Neodiprion lecontei: one gene and its partners. The protein of the gene in region 3 interacts with the protein of the main gene of each other region in a biochemical or structural test. Links are inferred from orthologs where the notes say so. Each region holds a gene or a part of one and is shown on either strand. Other genes may lie near its edges.

Region 1 (9,094 bases), on a different chromosome or scaffold from region 3:
GCAGATCGGAAACGCGGCATTCCAACGGCTGCGAAAAATTCTGAAAATACATCTGGATTATGGACTGACGCATTTCAATATCTGGGCATGTATTCAAGGAAGAAATGCTCGTTGCTGGAATGCGCTCCTATCCGTACCGGTAGAATAGATTGGCAATCTTTAGAAAATTAGATAAATTTTGTACAATTTTGCGGGCTTAAAACGCTTTGAAACAATAAAATAGATGTGAGTAATCTTTGAATTTGGTATACAGTAGTAACAGTTGGCAAAAAACTTGAAACTGAATATTCGGTATTCTATAAAATGATTGTTGCAGTATGCACGAGAAAAAAAAAATAAACAGTTAAGAAGGCTAATTAAACATTTATAAATTATTCATTTTTTGATAAGATTATAACATGGATATCAACGCATCTGTGGTTGTAGGTATATCTAAATATTGAAAATACTACGAAATGGTTAAAGAATTTTTATAAACTTTTATAATAACCCATAGACTGTGTCTCCTTATAATATTCTGCTTAGACTACAGATCATAACACAGATGATACGTGCAAAAATACAGAACAAACATAAGGAAATAAAATAAAAATTGACATTAAGTATTTCGTTACGTTCTCCAAATGTTATTACCAGGAAACCCGAATCCCTAATCCCAACTTTTACGTTGAAGATAATTTTACAAATTCATAATAGGTGCTGGGGGGAAAATTCCTGCGGGTTCCCGTTCGACCGCCTGTGAATTAGTTGGATATTCTGTCAAGTCAAGTGTTAGGACTTTGCTCTCTAGACATTCACCAACCTGTGAAACAGAACAGGCCGTTAGTAACATCGCCAAATAGACGTATGTGAAGATAAATCACGAAAACTCAATTTTTGCACTTTAGAGTGCTATACACGATCGAAATGAATCTCATTTTTATTTCATGTAGAAGCAAGCGAGACACTACGATCGCGGATAGAGTCGGGATCGTGTGCGGAACAACTTACGTCAGGGCAGATGCCAACGAGCGCATCTGCGTGAGAGTAAAATTCTTCCTTGAGCGAAATAACAATCGTCTGTAGAGAGCTAGTCTTGTCACGAATGTAGCTCGCTACTTTTCCAATGTTCGTATTGTCCAGGGCTGCGTCGATTTCGTCCAGAACGAAAAAGGGTGCTGGCTGAAAGCTACGACAGTAAAAGAATTTATGACATCGAAGCATAGAGATCCTAGATCGAAAGGAAACCACACCGAAACTTCAACGGGTTTAGGCCGTTTTTATACCTTCACCAACTTCTCGATTTGACTTTGAAAGCAATTACCTATGAACGGCAAACAGCAACGCCAAGGCCGCAACCGTTTTTTCACCACCAGAAAGGTTGGACATTGGCTGGAATCGTTTACCCGGAGCAACGCAATTGTAATTAATACCATCCAGATACGGCTCTTCAGGATTCTCTGGTCCAAGGAATGCCTGGGCGGACTGGTTCTTTGCTAAAGACTGATAAGGGTCGAAAAACAGTCAAAATATAAATCAAAAGTGAAGCAAGAATGTTAAATCTGTACACGGTAAGAGTATGTAGACATATATTCAGTATTTACCTTATAGATCGGGTCGATTTCATTGGCGACATGCTCAAAACATGCCATGAACCTATCGTGTCTCTCTTTCTTAACCTTCTCGAACTGAGTTTTAGCTTTTTTAGCCTTTTTACGGGATTGTTCGAACTCCTCATTCGTTTCTTGCAATTTTTCCTTAGCCGCATATAACTTTTGCAACGCCTATATCGAGAAGTATATTTATTCCAAATTATCAGATTCATTTCAGACCTAGAAGTGACCTGAGTCAAGTTAAATTTAGCTCAACAATAAAAATGTAAATCCAAACCTTCATATTTGGAGCTTGTATTCTCTGTATTGTTCCCTGAAGCTCGTTTATTACTCTATTGAGTTTGTCATTCGTCTTTTTAATATCGTCATCGTCTATGTCCTTTAGACTGTCAGGGAGAAGACCGTAGTCGATGGTGATTAAACTTTCCCGTTCGTACTGCTGTTGAGTATTCAATGTAGAGTCTGTGCCTGTTTCGCTTCCAGCCACAGTACTCTCTTGTGTGATATCCTCCATGTTCCCACGCAACATGGGTATTGCAATGTCTTCCATCTGAAAATTGGATGATGATTTTATCGTGATTTTCAAGGATGTAACTAATTAGAAAGTAATTGAGATACCTTGTGGATATCTAAGTTACCCACCTTGCATTGCATCAAAATAGCATGTCGATCTGCTTTCCTTTGTTCAATCTTTGATTCAATTGAATTTAGCTGTTTTTGCGCAGCCTGAACTTCTTTTGCAATAGCACCAGCTTCACGTCTTGCCTTTCCAATTTCCTCCTCTTCCTGATCCATCTCTAGCTTTTTGTTAATACGAGTCGATGTTAATTTCTTCATTTGTACCTCGTCATTTTCTTTCTCAGTCAGTTGATGAGACTCGGTTTGACGAGCCGCATCTAGTTTATCTTCAGCATCTTGAACCATTCTTTCCCAGCGAAGTACATTGCCTGTTGTTTTGTAGAATCAGATTAAAATTAATTCCCAAGATATTAATTCATTAGGTATTTCAAAATTGGAAAATGAAAAATATTCTTACTTTCGGTATCTTTTTGTTTTTCAAAATCTAACTGGTTCAAAATACGATTTGTTTGGTTGTCGAATTCCATTCGTTTCTTGGCACGCTCTTGCTGTGATCTGTGACACGAGTGTTTGGTATTTAGATTGAACATGAATTTCATTGTGATTCACTCATAAATTGATACCTAATGATATCAGCAATTGTGGAACGATTGAAGGACCAAGGATCAAGGATTATGCTGGATCTGCAGGTATTGACAGACGTTTGGGAGATAATTGCTGAATAGCATTGATTTTATTCAAATTAAGAGGGCAAAAAAAAAAAAGATGGTACAGGTTCCTGGACTCTACCTCAATTCTCTTTCCTCGTACTGACGAATATTGGCAACACCGATCTGTTCGCAAAAGTTGGCAAATACATCGTCCTCCACACTGTTCATTTTTTCCTTGATAGCTTGGATCTCTTGATCTCTGGTGGCCATTGTTTTTTCAATATCGCTTATTGTGGGCTACAAAAAAGTATATCAATACAATTAATCGATTATCATGGGAATATTTCTCCCAATACTCATCGATTACTCACACCAAAGAGATTTAACTCATTTTGTAGTGCCTGCAGCTCCACTTCGAGATCCGCTATTTGCTTTTTCTACGGATTAAATTAAAATAGTGAACGTGATTTGCCAAAATGGTTAAAAACTAATTGTATAGCCGTACTGTCCACTTACCGTTGTTACCAAATCATTTTTATTGTACTTCAGGCGGGTCTCAAGTCCCCTAATTTGAGAATCGACTGTATTAAGTTCGGATTCTTTGCGAGATTTCTTAAGAGCCTCTCTTAGTTCTTCTGTGAGTTTTTCCTGAAAATCAACGAGCGCATCTCTAGGTTGTTATTTTATGGTCGTCAACAATCAGATGTGTGAGCATTTAATTTTGGTAGTGTTACCTTCCGAGATTTTAACTGTGACATCTGTTTTTCGTCCCATCTTTTTGCTTTTTTTGCCAAATCCAAACTTCCACCCGAAATGATTCCAGCTTTCTGGTAATAAGTTCCATCAAGTGCGACACACTAAATTGAGTAAATAAACGTGAGATTTATATTTCGCGATTTTTTCTTCATATGCATTTACTTACATCGTATCTAGTTTTTTTGTCCATCTCATACGCAACTTTATTGGCGTCTTCGGGAGTTTCACAAACCAAAGCATTATTAGTGGCGAATAAAACAGCTCTATCAATATCCTTTGGCGAAAAAGCGAGAACGTCGTATAAAAGCTTGACATTCTTGGGCTCTTGAATGTTTCTGCAAAATAATTATTAGCACCATGTAGAATTGATAAGCAGTAAGATAATTTTCACATTCCAGAAATCCGAACGGCGTTTAACATACCTAAGTCTGCCCTTCAATGGCTTTGCTTGAATATAATCAAGTGGTAAGAACGTTTCTGGTTCTAAATATTGTTCCTTAAGATACTGTATGCACTGTCTTGCTGTCTTTTCAGTATCTACAACAATAGCTTCCATGTACTTCCCCAAGACCTTGGTAATAGCTACGTTGAATCTTTTGTGGATCGGTTGGCACATGTTGATCATGCGGTCGTACTAAACCAAATAAATAAAATAGAATACAGTTTTACCACCAAAACAATGGACATTTTTTACTCACCACACCAGGATAAAGACGTTTGAAATTTTCAACAATTTCTGTCTTCTTTTTGTTCCTTGAAACCTCGTGCTTGTCAACTTTGGCATCACCAAGCTGTTCAGATATGTTTTCCAACTCGCGCTGTATCTGTTGTATCTTGTCTTTGGATGTTCCCACATCTGATTGTAGATCAGCTCTGAGCTTCTTCTGATCCTCCAACGCAGCTTCTGAAGTTCTAATGTGCTCCTCAAGCTTTTCTACACGCTTTTGAGCCTCGTCTCTCATGTGACCTTTCTGCTTGTGCTTATTTTCAACGTCTGTTTTTTTTCTACCCTCATTATCAAGCCTGTCTTGGTCGGATTTTTGCTGACGATTAATGGAATCGAGCATCTGCAAGTAGCGTGCTGATTGTTTTCCCGCCGCTTCTTTCAGATTATTATACTCTCGGACCTTGAATCATTTTTAAATAATATTAACCATACCAATTTTTCTGGTTTAATGTTAAAAAATTTATATTGCACATTTTACTCTAAAAATATACCTGTTCATCCTCAAGCTGTACGTCTCTCCCCTGTGACTGTGATTGTCCGGCGACATTCGCCTCATAGGCACTTTTAGCTTGCTCAACTTGGGACAACTGGTCGTGAAGCTCCTTTATGTCTTTCTTGTGGGCTTCGTCAGCAGTACGAGCAGTTGCCAAAGATTTGCGAGCAGATTCGACTTTTTTTTGCATGTGAGTGACACGCTCTTTTGCCTTGATGAAAGTGGGCCTTTTTTTGGATATCTCTGCTTCCATTTCCCTAATATCCTGTTCAATCTTTTGATATTCACGGTTTAGTTTGCCAGCCTCTTTTTTCTGCTCTCGCAATTTCTCATCCACTTTTTCCTTTTTCTTCAATATCTTATCCACTTCATGCTGCTTCTTTTTAAGAGTGTTTTCTAAATTTTCAATCTCTTTTTCATTGTGAAACAACCTGAAGAGCTGTAACTCCACCTGCTTTTCTGCCTGATGTTGATAAACAGAATGAAGAAATCAAAATATGTGTAGCCAAGAGGTAAATTTGGGGGAAAATCAAGTTGTTCAGTCCACTTACACATTCTTCTTTTAAACGGTGGTATTTCTCGGCTTCTTCCTTTTCTAATTTTGCCTCCTTTCTCTCAGCAGCTACACCTTTCTTTTTTTGATAAGAGAACTGTGTCTCTTCTTCCGCTCTGAACATCTCACTTCTGAGCCTGAGTGGGTTTGAAATATAGACATTGAGTACAATGTAATCAAACCGTTTTGAGCTACAATTCGTGAGTAAGAAATTTCAGATTTACCTTTCATATTCAGTTTTCAGTGCACCCGAATTGCTGATCTCTTCGAAAAGAGCTGTTCGTTCTTTGGGATTTTTCATAGCTATCGACTCCACAGCCCCTTGAAAGACGAGGAAATTCTTAGCCTTCACATTTATCCCAAGATGTTCCAACTCGTTAAGGTACACTTGACTAGTTACAACCTACAGGATGCAAGATTGGTTTAAGAAATTACAAAATGAGAAGATTGCACATTTTAATTATCATTGATTATTCACACACAAGCTTTGAAACCTAATGATCTACTTTGATGAATTAAGGGACAAAGATGTATTTGAATTTAATAACTATGAGTAATAAACACACCATATTATCGATACGATGCTCGGAAGCGGAGCCTTGCACTGACCGCATGAAACTCTTCTCAGTACCATCTTCCATTTTAAATACAGCTGTAACCGAAGCACTGAAAGTTAAACCGATCAACAATTAAACATATGGTAATCTAAAGGCTAAATGAGAGATAGGTCAAGCCATTGATGGCAGAGGCACCATTTTCTTCAAATATAAAATCATGAAGTTAATTAATGTACTGTTCAAGTCCAATTCCATCCTGATGAGTATTTATACCTTGAACGCTATCTTTTGGACTTACCCCCATACTCATTCATCCTATTTTACTAAAAAATGTCATGACTATTTGCCTTTACTTACCTTCGCTTAACGGGCTGACCAATTGAAGCACCATGGATGAGCTCACTGAATCTTTTTACTCTAAGGCTGCTAGTTTTTTCTCCCATGACAAAACTGATGGCATCCATGAAATTTGATTTGCCTGTAATTTGACAGAGTCAAAGATCTGAAAATATGTTCAGTAACGACGTTGCAAGCTTGAGATCATGACAATTTAGAATTTGGTAGGAAGGTCTTACCGGATCCATTTGGACCTACGACTGCCGTGAAGGGCTTAAGTGGACCAATTCTAAGTTTTCCCTTGTAGGATTTGAAGTCTTCGACTTCAATGTAACTCAGAAATGCTGGCATCCTGGTTATGGTTGTATCCAATAACCTGTCAGATGCGAACCGTACGGATCACCGCGGTTATTGTTTACTAGTGTCCACGCCTCTCGAATCTCCACTAAAATACTAACCAACAAAACATGAGTGTTGACACTGAAAACTATTTACATGTCGCAGCCAAACGTAAATATACCTCTAACGAAAAATCATCGAAACCGTAGCTCGTGGCAGGCGCGAGACGCCACAATGCTGACGCTACGACGCTGAGAAAATGAATACAGAAACGAATGTCCAAGCGCCAGAATCTCCGTTCAACGTTCCGATCAGTCTGATGTTTTGTCATATATCACCGCGGTAACCGTGGCGGGAACTATGCGCGGGAGTTGAAACCACTTTGGAACCATTTTGGAATACTCACCACGAATCCTCCTCTGCAAGTGCGTTCCGAAATTAGCTCTCTGTGCCTGAGAGGATAATTTGTGAACATGAGGAGGTAAGAAGCCGACGGATGAGTCATTCAGGGTCATTGCTTGCTACGTCCGACATTTTCATACCTATGGTCGCATAGGCAATATCGTCCATATATCGTCACAGTGTTACGCGTGTGGATAGTGTATCCACAAAGCTGCATGTAAAGCGGTTTGTTTATATTGATAAAACCTATCGATACTTGTTGGAGGTGTTAAAGATAGAAAAAAATAATGTCTGCGACAATTCAGAGTTGCGTCGACAGTTCTGTCGAAGGGGATGACTACGGAGATGCCTTTGGTTACGGAAGGTAAGTTGGAAAAATTTTTATCAAATCTACCAAATGTAACCCTAACCTAATATAACCTTCAAATAGAACTGAAGTAAGATTGTTTACCTTTAATTTCCTTCAGGAGCAACGCGCAGTCTTATGGAAATCAATTACAAAATAGTCCGACAATGCGCTACGCGACTCACTACAACATGAATCATTCCAAGCGAGGTATAGCTCTGATTTTTAACCACGAATCCTTCACCATAAATCACCTCAAGCCCAGATCTGGCACTAACGTTGACTGTGAAACGCTAAGGAACTGTCTAGTCAAACTTGGATTCGAGGTCAAAGATTTTCAGAATCTAATATTCAAGGATATTCAGAAGAAACTAGAAAAAGGTTTGTGTGTCATCAAATGCTTGATCCTGTTTTACAAATTGCCAACTCATCCTACAAGAATTTTCATCACTTATCCTTGAGGCATACTAACATGAGAAATGAATCAGTTTCAGAAATGGATCATTCAGATCATGATTGTTTAGTTGTGGCTGTACTGTCTCATGGAGAGCTGGGTATATTATACGCCCATGACACTCCTTACAAAGCTGACACAATTTGGTCATACTTTACCGCAGACAAGTGTCCGACACTCTCTGGTAAACCTAAAATGTTCTTTATCCAGGCATGCCAGGGAGACAAATTAGATCCTGGTGTTAGCCTCAGAGAACGCACAGAAACAGACGGACATGGTTCCCAAAGTTTTCGCATACCAAGCCATGCAGATTTTTTAATAGCCTACTCGACCATACCAGGTAATTACCATTGTCATTTGTAGGCTTTGTAAGTACATTGTTAGCAATATTTATTTCATTCTTCTCTTCTAGGTTTCTATTCTTGGAGGAACACGACCCGAGGATCCTGGTTCATGCAAGCTTTGTGCTTGGAGCTTTGCGAAAATGGCTCACGATGGGATTTGCTAACACTCCTGACTTTTGTTTGTCAGCGCGTTGCAATTGATTTTGAATCTAATACTCCTGACAATATTACTATGCATCAGCAGAAACAAATTCCATGTATCACTTCAATGCTGACACGCCTAGTGAAGTTCACATTGCCTAAGAACGGAGTTGCTGCTAATTGATGCACGAGGTCAAGATCGTTTTAATTCAATTTGCCATAATTCTTGACTGAGAACAGTTTTTATCAGCTATGAATATCCTTCGCTCTATTCGACGGAAATTTTTCATCCCAGGTAATAATCTGTAACATCTTATTCCATTAGATTAGGTTACTTCAGTGACTGCACACATTGTTTGTCATGAACTATCTGCCGTTACTTGCTCACATATACAGCAGTTACTTAAAGCATATTTTGACGATGCCATTTGACACAACAAAAAATGCTTATAATAGCCACAAATAACATGACACAAACGAAACAATTCAACGGACCAAAATCGAATGTTATTTACTAGAACAACTTGAATGAATTTGCATTGCTGGAAGTATTTGTGAAGTTGCGATCAGGACAGAGCATTGTAACATTACTTAGATCTTATTACTTTGAGGAGACTTAAGCGACAACTGATGGCTAAATTGTAATTAATACTCACAAAACTCTTCAAGATGTAATCATTTGATCTCAAACAGTGTACGTATTATATCATATAGCTTGTCCTTTTGTTTTTGGCTGATGGCCACAACTGGAACAAAGTGCATTTACTGTTAGGTCAATTTTATATATATACAATTTCAATGTTTCTACTACGTAAGATATACTGT
Region 2 (7,668 bases), on a different chromosome or scaffold from region 3:
AACTTATATCTACAGGCACCAGGGTTAAGGGACCATCCTGCGGCAGGATGTACGGAGAACAAGGAATTCCAGGTCCTAAATATTGTCAGCAGTTTTCCATTTTATAAGTATGGATCACAGCAGCCTTAACACTTCTCTTATTCGTGCAATTAACAAAATATAGTTTTCGATGTTCAAATTCAAGTTTTTAAATCGAAAACGTTGAAAATTAGTTAATTGTGTCTATACAGCTTCTTGCAAACCGTATAGCTAAGATATTTGTACCTAGCGCGATACGCGTATAATCCGGCGATTTATCAAAGCGGGATTCTTCTCTGTTCGATCACATTAACGGTGTGATTAGTTAAACCCCCGCGATAAGATCGACAAATGATTTTTTTGGGGCATGCAACGATTAACAGTTCAGCCACTTTATCGTAATGGAGATTCGAGCTTGTACGTTCTTTGCTTTACAGCTGCTGACCGTCCTGCAGTTTGCGTCAACGGGTTTTGGAAGCAGTCGTATCGCTGCGGGCGAATCGACGACCCTCGGGGAATTCTCCTTCATTCTATCTCTGGGACTGACCTCCTGGGCAAACGTTTACCATTTGCACTACTGCGCCGGATTCGTTGTCACTGAAAACTGGGTTATCACTGCTGCCCATTGTGTCGAGGAGTGAGTATAACGCATATTTTAATGATATAAATCCGTATACTCTCCGAGTAAGTGCACCCGACTCAAAATCTAGACTCTACCGTAAGCCTGCAGGTACTCAGCAGAATCTCATTTGAGACTTTTCGGTCCTCACGCTCTATTCAGAACCTTGAGAGAGCTATATTTTTCATAGTTGGACCCCTGGTAGATCTTACACGTATTATTACCTATTCTGGTACTCTATGTGATACTCCTTTCATATGAGAGCCTGTTCAATGTCTTGAGGTCCTCAAACCTACTGCAGTAGTATCTAGATTGGTGATTATATTATTCCGCTTACTCTGAATAATTAGATGCGATACGGGACCAAGGTTACGAAAGTATAATAATTGATATTATGATTAACACTTGGTATCAGTAACCACATGTCGATCAATCTAAATATCGAAATCTAATTCAAGTACTGATCTTAATATTCAATGACTGAAATTGCACATTCTATGGTAAAGGACCTGTAGAGATCTTTAGGATATAGAGGATATAGAAGACCCGTAGAGGTCTGAAGCTACAGAAGACCTGTAGAGGTTTCAAAGATGTCCGACTTTGAACCTAAACGTGGGAGAAACGGAAATATCGGACAAGTTTAGGTCTAGAATACGTTCTCGTTTCAATATAAGGTTAGTCCTCCACAGGTCCTACTACGTTCTACCAAACGTATAACTTACAGGCGTATACGAGGGTCTAAATTTCGATTCCAGCAATCACGATAACTATCTGTATTTTCACAATTAAGCGCCGTTCAAGATGTGGGACGCTACTATTGGCTGGCTGGGACAAACAATTTGCGCCAAGGAGGCACCCAGTACTTCATCGGTCAGATCGTTATTCATCCCGATTACGCCCCGGATGATTCTCTGATACACGACGTCGCCTTGGTCAAGGTGAGATACAGCAGATACAGATACATTTACAACATTTACAACAGATACAGATACATTTAGATTTTGGCACAATTAGAGCCAATTCTTTGCTATTAAGGCCTGATTCCTCCAACGTTAATCTAAGTTTAATGTAAGTTCAGCCTATCTTCAAACTGTAAACAAAAAATTGAACGCCGTTTAAACCGTGTCGGAGGAAACGGGCATAAATGTTTAAAATGTAAACGAAATGCTCGAAAAATTAAGGTCGTATAACGTCTTGGTCATTATTTTATTTGTACAGGTGAGAAATCCGTTTGAATTTTCAAATACAATTCAGCCAATCGGGCTAGCGAGGTCAAGTGCTGAGTCTACATCAGGGACTCGCGGTGTTGTCGTCGGATGGGGTGAAGTTTCGCAGACGGTGATACAACCCGATGTTTTGCGAAGCGCCGAGGTTACGATCATCGACGGAGATCTCTGCCGCGAAATATACGCACCTTGGCACCTGACCATTCACGAGGAATATCAATTCTGCGCTTTATCTACCAACGACGAAGCGAAAACAGAGGCGAGGACCGATTCTCAAATGAAACTTGATCGTAGGGCATGTCGCGGAGACGAAGGAGGGCCCTTCTTTTATAGGGACCTTCAACCTTCGTTCGCCGTGGACACTGCCATGGGATTCGTGTCGTGGACCTATGGCTGCACGCCCTCAGGCTATCCGGCTGTATACGTAAAAATATCCCCCTACTTGGAATGGATACGTGAAATTACGGCCTCGTGGATATAATGTATAAGTTTTGTTATTTGTGTTGATATAATGTATAAGCATTGTTTATTTATGATGTTAAACCATGTGATTAAATTGTTTTTCATCACATTACGCGATCGATCCTTAGCGTTTGATGATTATCACACATCTAATTTTATACATTTTTTTGTAACTTTCTGGAACCACCCTGTAGTTACTGATATTTATTTTAAAAAACCTGAACGCATGCATGAGTTTACGCTCGTGTTTTCTTCATGCATGCAGGCAACGTTCGTGGCGCGCAATTCTACTATTTTGAAAATTGTACCCGCCCACAATTCCTTGCGCGTGATCCTATGAGCCAATAATTGCGTTCAACACATATACAACTCGAGAAACGAGCCAATCATATACAAGTAAAAGCTTTCAATTTTCCAATCCCATTCGCCTGGTCCGCATTCATCCATTTGTTGACAATGAAAGCTTTGATTGTGAGAGGGACACTGAAATGTAAGAAATATGTAAACTGAAACGGTGAGAAGAAAAAAGGAAGAGACCCTATAATTTCAAGCTTGTTATTTCGACGCCCAAGCGAAAACAGCGACAGGCGAATGTCCTCCAAATAATTTCATGTCAGAGAAGAATCGTCTGTACCACGTCGTAATTTATCTACACTTAAATGGTAAATATGCACACATATTTTTCACTCGAAATCGCTATTTGCCATTGTCTATTGTCGTATTGAAGCTTGCCGATAGTTTGGTATTCGAACTCGGCTTTGCCGAACTTCGATTTATATGTTTGAGATTTTGATTTTGGAATTGTAGCCACAAATATAACCTCTCGAGCCGGTCACGTGTCCGTAAGTTAAACGCTGTTGTTCTCGCTCACCTCCAACCTGTTGGTGCCTTTGACGGTCGGGCCAAACCAGCAGAAAGGCTATCGCAATGGCTACAGAGGATCAATTACCGCTTACCTTACCGGACACCCAAAATGCCGACATCTTGACCCCGCAGAGCCAGGAACAGGAACCACGGTCCCAAGGTTCCCAGAAGATATGGGGAATGCTTTACCCGAGCAGTGACAGGTTGCAGAGAGTCGGTGAGCAGTCAAATTTCGTATGGAAAAGGAGATTAAAGTCGCACATTGATCTTGCAGAGCTCGGCTATAATTTCTACCTCCAACTCAACTGGACAAGCACCAGTATCCAGAAATGTTTTTGTGTAATTGACGGAAGAGTTCAATACTCGTACAGTATTTTTAAAATTCTTTGTTTCAGAAATGACTATGAATGAGTACACATTGGGCCGTGCGGCACATTGCAACATATGCCTGACGGAACAACATCTTGACAGTAAAAAATGGTGGGGTGTTATTAGCAAGCTGCACTTTCGAATAACAAGGGTAATTGTTAGCCCTGGAACAAATGACATGGTGGTTTACCTGGAGGACACAAGCCACAACGGTACATTTGTTAATAAGCTCCTTGTGGGAAAAGGAAAACGAATTATTCTAGAACACGGTGACGTAATCGGGCTGGCTCAGGCTGAGAAAAAAGGTACAAGCTTATGAGTGAAATTATTTAAAGTCACAGAAGCAAATCCATTATTCCTCTTCTCACTTACAGTTTATACTTTTATGAGTATCAGCGGATCAGAAAATAGTATCCTGCCTCCAGAATTGAAATGCAAGTACGCTGTATCAAGAACGCTTGGTTCTGGTGTGTGCGGTGAGGTGAAAATGATCTATACTAAAGTCGGGTGCAAAAAGTTTGCGCTCAAGACTATCGCTAAGAATAACTTTCATGGCTGTGATGGAGGGAATCCGTTCAACGATCCAGGGAAGATCCTCAATGAGGTTCACATACTCAAGGCCTTGAGGCATGTGAGTAATTACATCTTTTTTGTAAGAATTATTTGCCTGTTATAATAAATTTCATCAACACTTCTTGGACACTTCGCAGCCCTGCATAATAAGGATGGAAGAAATCCTAGACACCCCGTCGTCGGTTTATATTGTCCTTGAGCTGATGGAGGGTGGTGAACTATTTGATAGGATTCGTAAGGAACGTTCTGGATTGAGCGAAAGAATTGCCAAAGTAATATTCTACCAGGTCGTTCTCGCCGTTCACTATCTACACCAACGCGGGATAACCCACAGAGACTTGAAGGTATTATAACACGCGAATCGGACTCCAGGCACTCAAATCTATTTCTTCTCATATATTTTATATCTACATAAATTTTGTTCTTTTTTTTTCACAGCCAGAAAATATACTGTTGGCTACTAACGCTGAAATAACACTGGTTAAAGTGACAGATTTCGGTCTGTCAAAGCTGGTGGACACTCAGACTATGATGCGCACTTTTTGTGGCACTCCACTATACGTGGCTCCTGAAGTATTATTGACGCACGGAAAAGGGTCGTACACAAACCAGGTGAGTAATTGCCAAGAATTTTATGTTCATTTGCTGAATAGTTACGTATTTAAATTTTTCATAAACATGTGTTAATTAAAAGAGAAATAACAAAATAACTCCTGAATCAAAATGTTTGAAGTAATTACATTCTTTACCGTAAAATTTTTAGATTTTTTAACCTCTCTCTGCTGTCTATCACACACAAGTTGCAAAGGGCGGAACAACTCTCTGACAATACTTTTTACATTTTAGGTAGACGTATGGAGTTTGGGCGTAATTCTGTACTGTTGTTTAAGTGGGCTGGTACCATTCATCAGTAATGCCAAAGATATATCATTGCAGCATCAAATTGTTCAAGGAATTTACTCATTTCCGAGAGAGCGGTTTAAGAAGGTTTCCTTGCGTGCCATCGACCTCGTATGTCAATACCTTCGAAAAAGCAATAAAAATCTCCTGGCCTTTAAAATTATTTCTCATTTCATAAAATCCATTTCAGATTCAGCGTATGCTGACTGTAGATCCGAGTAAACGGATCACCATTCAGGATGTCGTACGCCATCCATGGCTGCTGGACAGGGAAGTGAGAAGCATTGTTAGCGAACTAATGAACGAAAATGACGAATACAACGAAAATCTTGTACCGTTTTCTGTGCCATCAACTTCAGGAGTTGCATCAGCGGTTGTACACGCATCTAGGCTTAAGGCTACACCAGGTCTCAGACGACAAAGAATAGAACCACCGACTGCCGCGTTGAAGAGGGCGCGCGTAGAGTGACTGAGTACCTTGTTCAAAATACTTAGTAATTAAACTTACGTACCAGATCAACGTGTAACAGCCATGGTGGGTCGTTGCGCGGAATAATTATGATTTAGGAATTTATCGTTTCACTCAGTAAGTTTCCTCGTTTATGTAAAGTTGTGGACCGACCAATGATCAGGGTATCAAAAAGGTGTAGCTTTTTTCTCTACTTATGCAAAACTAATTTTACAAGTAAAATAGAATCAAAGACCGAACAAAACAAAAGTATTATCCTTAAGCTTAAATGCTGTGATCGAAGTCGTACCTAGTCAGACGTGTAAATAATATGAACAAACGGTGAAGACTTTCTATTTTTTTTTTTTTTTAACTTGATTTTTCGCGTGATCTCCAACTGTTGTGTTAAAAATTGTACTAGTTACACGGAAGACACATTGTTCCGAAAGGAATGAAAGTTCGAAAAGAAAACTTTGAGTGTTACAGTGTTAGAATGAAGGAGCTAGTCCCTAACATTTTTTGTTTGTAGTCCTCAAAATGTTTTGATGTGATGACGAATCATGGGGATAAGTAATAGACGTAGCCCCAATCAATGGCTAATACAGTACAAAGACAAGTTGACGTAGGTTTTTTTTCTTCACTTGTTATACTCGTGCTGACGCGAGTCTTTCTAAACTCTGTTAAAAATACCTGATAAATACAATATTACTTGAGTGTTAAGTTGTGCTTTCAGTGAAGCAATACATAGCTCTAAACGATAATTATCACTTTTTTTTAATTATATTATTTTCATATCTATAATTAAATAAACGATTATAAGACTATTTTTAGGTGAAAATAACGAAGCATTTCGTACGGTTATTCTCGTTGAAAATATTTCTCGTTAATCTTAAATGAAAAATTATCCTCGTAATTGTGAGAAAAATATGTAAAAGTAAACAACGTGTTAACGTAGAAAAGAATTTTGTATTCAAAATCACGTCCCACGGTGACAACAACGTTATGGTATGAGAGAAGTACAGGGTGAATAATTATTACCACATATAAATATGTTCGATTATATATTATACATACATCAATTCATTTTTCCGCATGGGGATTGGCGTTTGGGGGGGGTCCAGCGCACGGATCCGGCAGCGGCGTCTGCATGTCTGGTTTTTCTTTTTTCGTAAGACCGGCAAGTAGCCGTTTTATCTGGGCAATCGCTTTGCCGGGATTCAATCCCTGAGGAAATGAATAATTATCGTATAAGAAGAAATCCGTCATGCGTAAAAAATCAACCTGCACCTATACTTATACGCCCGTACCTTCGGACACGTTTTAGTGCAATTGAAAATAGTGTGGCAGCGAAAAACCGAATAAAAATCCCGAAGCTTCGCGAGCCGTTCCTCGTGCTCAAAGTCCCTTGAATCGATGATCCACCTGTATGCCTGTAAAATTTTCATCCGAATTAACTCGCGTTCTTCTCAGCCTCTTCCTTTCAATCGTGCGATTATCTGACCTGCATCAGGACCGCAGGTCCGAGATACTTGTCGCCGAGCCACCAATAAGGGGGACACGAGTAGGTGCAGCATCCGCACATCACGCACTCGTACAAACCGTCCAGTTTGTTTCTGTCACGCTGACTTTGCAGCGTCTGGCGATACCCGATGTACTGATCCTCGCCCCGCCGTTTCAGCCAAGGTTCTATCATTTTGTACTGTTTCAAAAAGTGCGAAAGATCCGGCACCAAGTCCCGAATTACGTACATGTGGGGCAGGGGATAGATAATCGCCGGTTTCGATGAATTGTCGTCGAGTTTCCTGTTACGGAAATATTATTCTTTGATCGATCAATTCGTTCTGCTACTACGTAAATTATGCTGATACGTCTTATCCCAATACCACCGGGCTGTCGTTACTGTTAAGATTTACGTTAGACAGGCCAGGGTGTTCACCCCGTTGATGTTCATCGAGCAGCTACCGCATATTCCCTCGCGACATGATTTTCGAAAAGTTAGGGTCGGATCGTACTCCGCTTTTATTAATTGCAGGGCGTCCAGAATCATTGTACCGCACTTGTTCATGTCGATTTCGTACTGCTGCATGTAGGGTTTCGTTCCCGGCTCGTGAGGGTTCCATCGATAGATGCGGATTATCTTTATCCTAGGTTTTGCCTTATGAATTGAACAGACCACTTGACTTTCGTTA
Region 3 (6,232 bases):
TTGAATAAAGCTGTCTGTTACAAACTCTAATGCGAGATTGTTTATAACCATGCAATAAATTGCACGCAATATATTATTCCATGTATCCCAATTGCAAGCATAGGCTGCGTTATGATTTTGCGTTACACTTCCAGGGTGGTGAGCTCGAACTACTAGCAGCATCCAGTCATATTTAGCACAGCTACCATTCAAATCGATTGCAGAACGCATAACAATTTCTCCAAACTCACAAAGAGCCATTCTACTTTCTGGACCAACTTGTTGACATACAGCATTTACTAGTTTGAATGTGTCATCGGAAAGATTCCTTGGGTCAGACTTTGCATCATTGAGGACTTCGACTAAAAAAGTGATTTTTACTTGTAAGTATAATTTGGTATTGCTTCATTTGGTTATTTTTGTACATAACTGGCATTTGAGTTCATTATGTCCAATTAAGACCAACAGAAACTGTTTGATGCTTGCAGGAGGGGTTAATCACTGTAATAATCTGAAGTACAATCTCATCTAATTTTGATTATCTCTTGTAATCTCACGTAATCCTTGTAATTTTTTTTTAACCATTGCAATCTTCTACAATCGATTGTAATCTTTGATGATCTCATTAAATTCTTCATGGTATCTTCGTAATTTAAAAAATCTCTTGTGATCTTCAGACTATTTTGTAGTCCTTTTGCCGCATGTAATCTTTGTAATAACTATTAATATTTGTAATCCTGGGAATCGTAATTCTTAGGATACTTGTGATCTTGATAATACCTCGTAGTGTTTTGTATTTTCTTTGTATTCTTCATGTTATTTTTCAAATCTAGAAATCCTCGCCGAATTTGAAATTCTTGTAATCTTTGTGGCCACTTGTAATCTTTGCAATATTTTGGTATCCTCTATAATCTTTGTCTTTCCTTCTAATCTTCGTAATCTGTATAATCTCTTTATAATCTGTGTAATTTTTTGTAACTATAATTGGTATAGTCACTTAGTCTTGGAAATCTGTGTAATTTTCTTAATCATTTTATAATCTGTGTAATATTTGCAATCTCTATGATCTTGGTAATCAGCTTGTGATCTTGGAAATCAGCTTGTAACCTTTGTAATTGTAATCAGTGTAAATCAGGTTTACATAGTGACTAATCCCTCTTGCTTGCATAAACTGTGAGCAATTAAGACTGACCCTGAATACTTGGTTTGGAGAATGAGAAACCTTATGTACAATTTGGACTTGATGCAATTCAATACCTAAAAATTGAAGAATCCCTTTCAACCTTAGAGCAAGATGTGATTGTGTGCAGCCATGTTGTACTATGCCACAAATTGCCCTCAAAATTAAAATCTTGTCAATGTTAGGATGTGGGTTTTTGTACAATCCAATACAACTATCCAACAATTCCTTCCAATGACCAGATGACATATTAGTTTGGTATTGTTTAACCGGCAGTACATGGTTCACCAAAATAGTGAGGTATATTTTTTGATAATCCATGTATTTGTGATCAGAAAAAATTTGAAGTATCAGTCCCACAAGGTCGTCACATTTTAGAAATATTTCAGAGCTGTTCGCTTTCTTGATTGTGTCCAATATAGTAATCGAATTACTTCGCTGAACGGACTCCTTGTTTTCCTGTGCTCGTGATAGTTTAGATGTGGAACCTGATGGTTTATCGTCCACTCGCATTGATCTCTCTGCTTCCTATGTTTAAAATCAGAAACACAACAGTGTTATTCTGATGATAATATACGTTGACTGATAAAATTTTATATATATATTAACAATTTGAGATAGTGTTGACTAAATTTCAAACGTTCATTGGAGAGTTTAATAAGACGAAAAATCTTTAATAATAACCAATAACATGATAACAATGGAAGCAATCATTGTGACTGTCTTGTTATAAAAAGTCGCAAAACTCTAGTGCCCATTTCAGTGATTCATAATGTATGATGACACCAGATATTAAAGGAAAAAAAATTCTCCATGGAAACTCATGCACAACGGATCTTTTGCAAATTATCTTTGAAACATCCCTTCTGAATCGAGTTTTGATTATAAATTTTTTTGCTATCGTCGATATAAAGACTGATGTACTAAAAAATGCTACAAAAGTTCTGTACTTTATGCGATTATGCGACAGTCATAAAAATTGACTGCTACTATTTTGTACTTTAATATTATGGTGAACAAAGGATTGTTCACCCCGGAAACTAGTTTAATAAACCCAATATCACAATTGGATTGCAATCATTTGACACCACTTGAAGCTGTAGTAGAGCTTTTCTGTTGAAGGGTCTTGGTAAATATCATAAAATCATTCAAAAGTTGCATAAAGTAACTAATTCTCGAGAATGAGCATTTGTAGTCAGAGAGGAGGAACCGAGATTCTGAGAAATATATTCCCCTCAAAGCTCGTGAGCTATGTTGAGAGGCTGCAATAAGTTTGATTCAGAATTGAGATGAATCGGAAAAGTTCTATACTGTGTGATTTGTATCAATAGACAAAGATGATGAGTGTCGTTGTGACCAATCAGCCGGCAACTGTTAGGATTCGTATGCTTTTTGGAATCCGAAGTTCGCAGACTTTTCCAGGTATTCCAGCCTGAAAGTAGGATTTTTCTAGTAACCTAGTAATTCAATTAGGACTGCTTTGATGATGTAACCAAAAAAATTCAGTTGACACCCCGCAGGATAACGATCGTAAAGCGGATGCAGGGGTAATTCTGCCATCCTACACTGACTGACCCATTTAATATGGAATTTGGACGTAAAAATGAATTGGCACAGTAGAATGCCACAATTTCACTTTTATGGTTTCAAAACACACAGTATAAAAATTCAGCATGTGATTAACACTACGTCTATTTGCACAATGGATACATCCTAAATATGCCAGTTTTGCGAATCACGAATTTTTCCGAAAAAATTAGAATAACTAAAGTATCCCGTAAAGTTTCACTCTGTAGTGCATATAAATACTTCCTTTAATTTAACAGAACATAAATTCACAATAAAAACTTATCGAGACTAGAAAGTACTTTCAAAACACTTACATGTAACAATACTTTATGTACAGAGTACATAATTGCAGTCCAAGTAGTTGCTGTTCCATTCTGAGTCTTTGAATTTGTATCAAGTTCCTCTATAGCTTCGGCACTGTCATACAGCTCTTTTAATTTTACAATGCATTTCTGTAAGATAGAGTCATAAAATGATTATAAAATCCAGCATGTGAGGAGACAGAACAAATAAAAGTTTCAACATGATCTCTCAATAAACGAAATGTTGGATAAAGGAATAAATTTTTAATAAAATCTAGTATCAACAAGTAAAATTTATGCAGACTTTAGATAAAATTTAGCACTAATTTACATTTCATATCCTGCATAAGTTTTTCGTGATAGTTCACAAGATTTTTATTGTTGAGCATCACCCGTGACTTTAATCATAATTGACATACTCGGCTGCTGACCACAGACAACTTGTAGCTGCTGTTATTGAGCGTCACAATCTAATATATGGTTCGCATAATTAATGGAACGACAGGAGGAAAATAATATGCTGGAATTGTGAATAGCGCCTGTTTAAAAGTATGAAACATACCTTTCTATCTGAAACTCGACTGGAACTCGCAAGTGAACACACGTCGTGAAATGCTTGCTCGTATCTAGGCATCGTTGACAATTGTCAATGAAGGTTAGACGCATTACCACAGTTCAAACTTTGAAATTTGTGATTACCGATTTGTGCGTTCAGACACAAACTTGAAAAACAATAATCTTAAATTTCTATTCAACGTCACTCGTAAGTATCACTAGATATCACAAGCTTTACATTAATTAACTGGCTCGCACAACTCGTCGCCCGCCAAAATTACCTCACTCTTGAAACGCGATTCGCGAACGACTGATTTTTAATATAAGAAGGGGAACAACGCGTGCGCATTCAATCAGTCGGATTCGAGCACCTGTTGCACAAACGCAACTTTTTGTTTATAATCATGTGAGAGAAAGATCGAAACAAGACGAAAATGATCAACTCAGTTCTTTTGTTATCTTAAGTGGCGTTACTTATTTGGTGTAATGCATTCCCTACCCTGAACCTTTGCACGAATCTAACGCTGCAGGAGGTCACTGAAATATAATGAGTAGACCTGCAAGAAAGAAAATTCATATTCTCCGCCATTTTTCGCACATGTTCACCGAGGCGAGCGCCATCTGATGGGTCGCAGGACGTCGTATTGTAAACTTCTGTGGGTGCGTTCCGAAATTAGCTCCCAGTGCTGTCAACAATCTTTTATCTCTCTTGCGCTGCCAAGTTCGTGAGTAGCTCTGTCTCCGTTTTAGAGTTTTAGCACTGCCAGTTAGTTTCGGTCCATGGTTAGACGCCGTATACCCTCCACACTGCAAATCCATTTGAGGCAATTCATTTCAGCCGATTTCAGCAATGTTAATTAATCTAATTGCATCTCCAATAAATCACATTGACAAAAAAAATGTTGTTAGAATACGTGCACAACATACACACATACGATTGACTGTTAGAAACTAGTTCTTGATATGAACAATAGAAAAATAGCCGAAGGAAGTATAATAAAGGGATGAAATTATAAAGTTGTACTTATATGTAACTTATGTACTTATAAGTCTAAGATATATGGCTACTATTTTTATGCTTCAATTTAAGGTTAAATTCTCGAGGCTTATTTAAAGCCAGTGCGTTTTTAGCGGCAAACTGAGATTTTCTTTAGCCGTTTTCGTTACATTTCCAAAAAGTTGTAATACGGAAAGACAATTTGAACAGCTTATCAAAATTTTAAATAAATCCACAAGTTTTTTATTCTTCAGCTAATTTGTAACAAGCATCACGATAGATTCATTTTTATATTTATTTAAAATCTTGCGTAATTTCTCTTGATGAAAACCCATTTACCGCTTCCAAATTTAGGGAAAACTCATCAAATAGATTCAACCTTCTACATATCTTCAACGTGCTTCTAACAAAGAGAAAAGTGTTTCGGGATTCTTCGGATATTATCAAAACTTGAGGTATCGAATTTTTCAACTCATAATTTTAAATGTGCTAAACAAAGCAAAACAAAATTCTTCATTGAAAGATTTTTGAAACGATTGGAACTAAAAATGGAGTGGGTAAAATTTTTTTCAAAAAATTTGGAACTTAAAGTTGTCTTTGCAAAAAAAACTTTGAAAAAATAAATTGGGCATCTTAGATATTAGACTAGTATCCTTTGTAAGAAGTTTGATATATTCATGTAAATATAAACGATACACGTTCATGTATTTCAATAATATTTATTTTTCCGTCGTATAATTTCGGTGTACATATTTCTTGTGCGAGATTTTCTTAACTTTTCAATTTCACGATGACAAGGGTATATTACCAACGTTTTGTACGCGATAGTTGTTGGTTATCAAGAACTTCTTTTGCCGACGTGTCAGTTGCTTGGTTGATAATAAGTGAAACTGCTAATACCCCCAAACCCGGCCAGACCCGACAAACTGTTGGGAAAAATAACCCAGAGCTATGAGTTAACGTACGTTTCAACAGAGGTTATGTATCCCCTAATCCTCTTTGATTTATGTATCCTATGTATTCGGTACATAAGCTTGTGCCGTAGAAGACAGGGGTGTGTTGTCGTTCCGTTCCGATTCTGGTTTTTTTAACTGTCCCACGTAGCATATTCATGGAACAGAACAACGCGAAATCGATGTCCATTTGCTTTTCTCCGACAATTCTAAAATGGATTTTGGTTTGATTTGTATTTATTTCAATTAATCGTGCCTTTGTACTTGAGATATGATGCAAATAAAAAAAGTACATTTGCACGGTCCATTCCGTTATTTCAGTTACATGGAACAGGTAGCAAAACGAGCTGCGGAACGAAATTTACAAGCAGAAGACAAAAGTAACAGTCCGGATGCCACGGAGAATTGACCGTTCTCAAGGGAAGCTTACCGTTCCGTCTTTCGGTAATCCGTGTTCCGTGTGCACCTGGGAAGTCACCCTCAGCCCCATGGGTTAGTCCTATCCCTAGCCAATGCATTCAGCGTTCCAGTCATGTTACAGTTCAGTGGGTTGGTACCCTAATACCCCACGAATGAAAAGGCCAGTAGTGTATACGGCAGCGCGGGCAGGGAGCTGGTTATTATTTTGCAAGAGAAGGAATCTTGTCTAACAGGCAAAAATTCGTAACTCCTAAAGTATTTCAGTTTGAATATGGAA

Evidence for each region.
Region 1: the proteins of serine-protein kinase ATM (region 3) and structural maintenance of chromosomes protein 1A form a complex in vitro, tested with the Homo sapiens proteins (2 studies listed by BioGRID and IntAct, with this or other methods). The link is inferred for Neodiprion lecontei from reciprocal best matches to the Homo sapiens genes ATM and SMC1A.
Region 2: of the proteins of serine-protein kinase ATM (region 3) and ovarian-specific serine/threonine-protein kinase Lok, one has a biochemical effect on the other in vitro, tested with the Homo sapiens proteins (6 studies listed by BioGRID, with this or other methods). The link is inferred for Neodiprion lecontei from reciprocal best matches to the Homo sapiens genes ATM and CHEK2.

The regions. Positions count from the first base shown.
Region 1 is NC_060260.1:1,031,319-1,040,412, forward strand, and holds structural maintenance of chromosomes protein 1A, read right to left. Parts: upstream 6,976-9,094; 5' UTR 6,764-6,975; intron 6,697-6,763; exon of another isoform or gene 6,620-6,696; 5' UTR 6,595-6,619; coding exon 6,483-6,594; intron 6,386-6,482; coding exon 6,265-6,385; intron 6,017-6,264; coding exon 5,917-6,016; intron 5,754-5,916; coding exon 5,575-5,753; intron 5,488-5,574; coding exon 5,349-5,487; intron 5,261-5,348; coding exon 4,796-5,260; intron 4,705-4,795; coding exon 4,276-4,704; intron 4,212-4,275; coding exon 4,000-4,211; intron 3,913-3,999; coding exon 3,744-3,912; intron 3,679-3,743; coding exon 3,556-3,678; intron 3,470-3,555; coding exon 3,338-3,469; intron 3,259-3,337; coding exon 3,193-3,258; intron 3,119-3,192; coding exon 2,961-3,118; intron 2,727-2,960; coding exon 2,629-2,726; intron 2,540-2,628; coding exon 2,235-2,539; intron 2,143-2,234; coding exon 1,870-2,142; intron 1,764-1,869; coding exon 1,584-1,763; intron 1,483-1,583; coding exon 1,304-1,482; and 6 more. Other genes in the region: caspase-1, read left to right, coding at 7,272-7,348, 7,452-7,711, 7,819-8,124, 8,197-8,453. UniProt on the Homo sapiens protein: Involved in chromosome cohesion during cell cycle and in DNA repair. Central component of cohesin complex. The cohesin complex is required for the cohesion of sister chromatids after DNA replication.
Region 2 is NC_060264.1:3,788,181-3,795,848, forward strand, and holds ovarian-specific serine/threonine-protein kinase Lok, read left to right. Parts: upstream 1-2,804; 5' UTR 2,805-2,987; intron 2,988-3,132; 5' UTR 3,133-3,252; coding exon 3,253-3,406; intron 3,407-3,584; coding exon 3,585-3,863; intron 3,864-3,932; coding exon 3,933-4,189; intron 4,190-4,268; coding exon 4,269-4,475; intron 4,476-4,569; coding exon 4,570-4,743; intron 4,744-4,977; coding exon 4,978-5,142; intron 5,143-5,221; coding exon 5,222-5,500; 3' UTR 5,501-6,528; downstream 6,529-7,668. Other genes in the region: trypsin-1, read left to right, coding at 1-72, 456-655, 1,428-1,575, 1,856-2,344; succinate dehydrogenase [ubiquinone] iron-sulfur subunit, mitochondrial-like, read right to left, coding at 6,560-6,703, 6,787-6,909, 6,981-7,281, 7,393-7,634. UniProt on the Homo sapiens protein: Serine/threonine-protein kinase which is required for checkpoint-mediated cell cycle arrest, activation of DNA repair and apoptosis in response to the presence of DNA double-strand breaks.
Region 3 is NC_060262.1:22,819,297-22,825,528, reverse strand, and holds the start of serine-protein kinase ATM, read right to left. Parts: upstream 4,136-6,232; 5' UTR 3,665-4,135; coding exon 3,593-3,664; intron 3,181-3,592; coding exon 3,043-3,180; intron 1,856-3,042; exon of another isoform or gene 1,851-1,855; intron 1,688-1,850; coding exon 1,237-1,687; exon of another isoform or gene 1,172-1,236; intron 342-1,171; coding exon 1-341.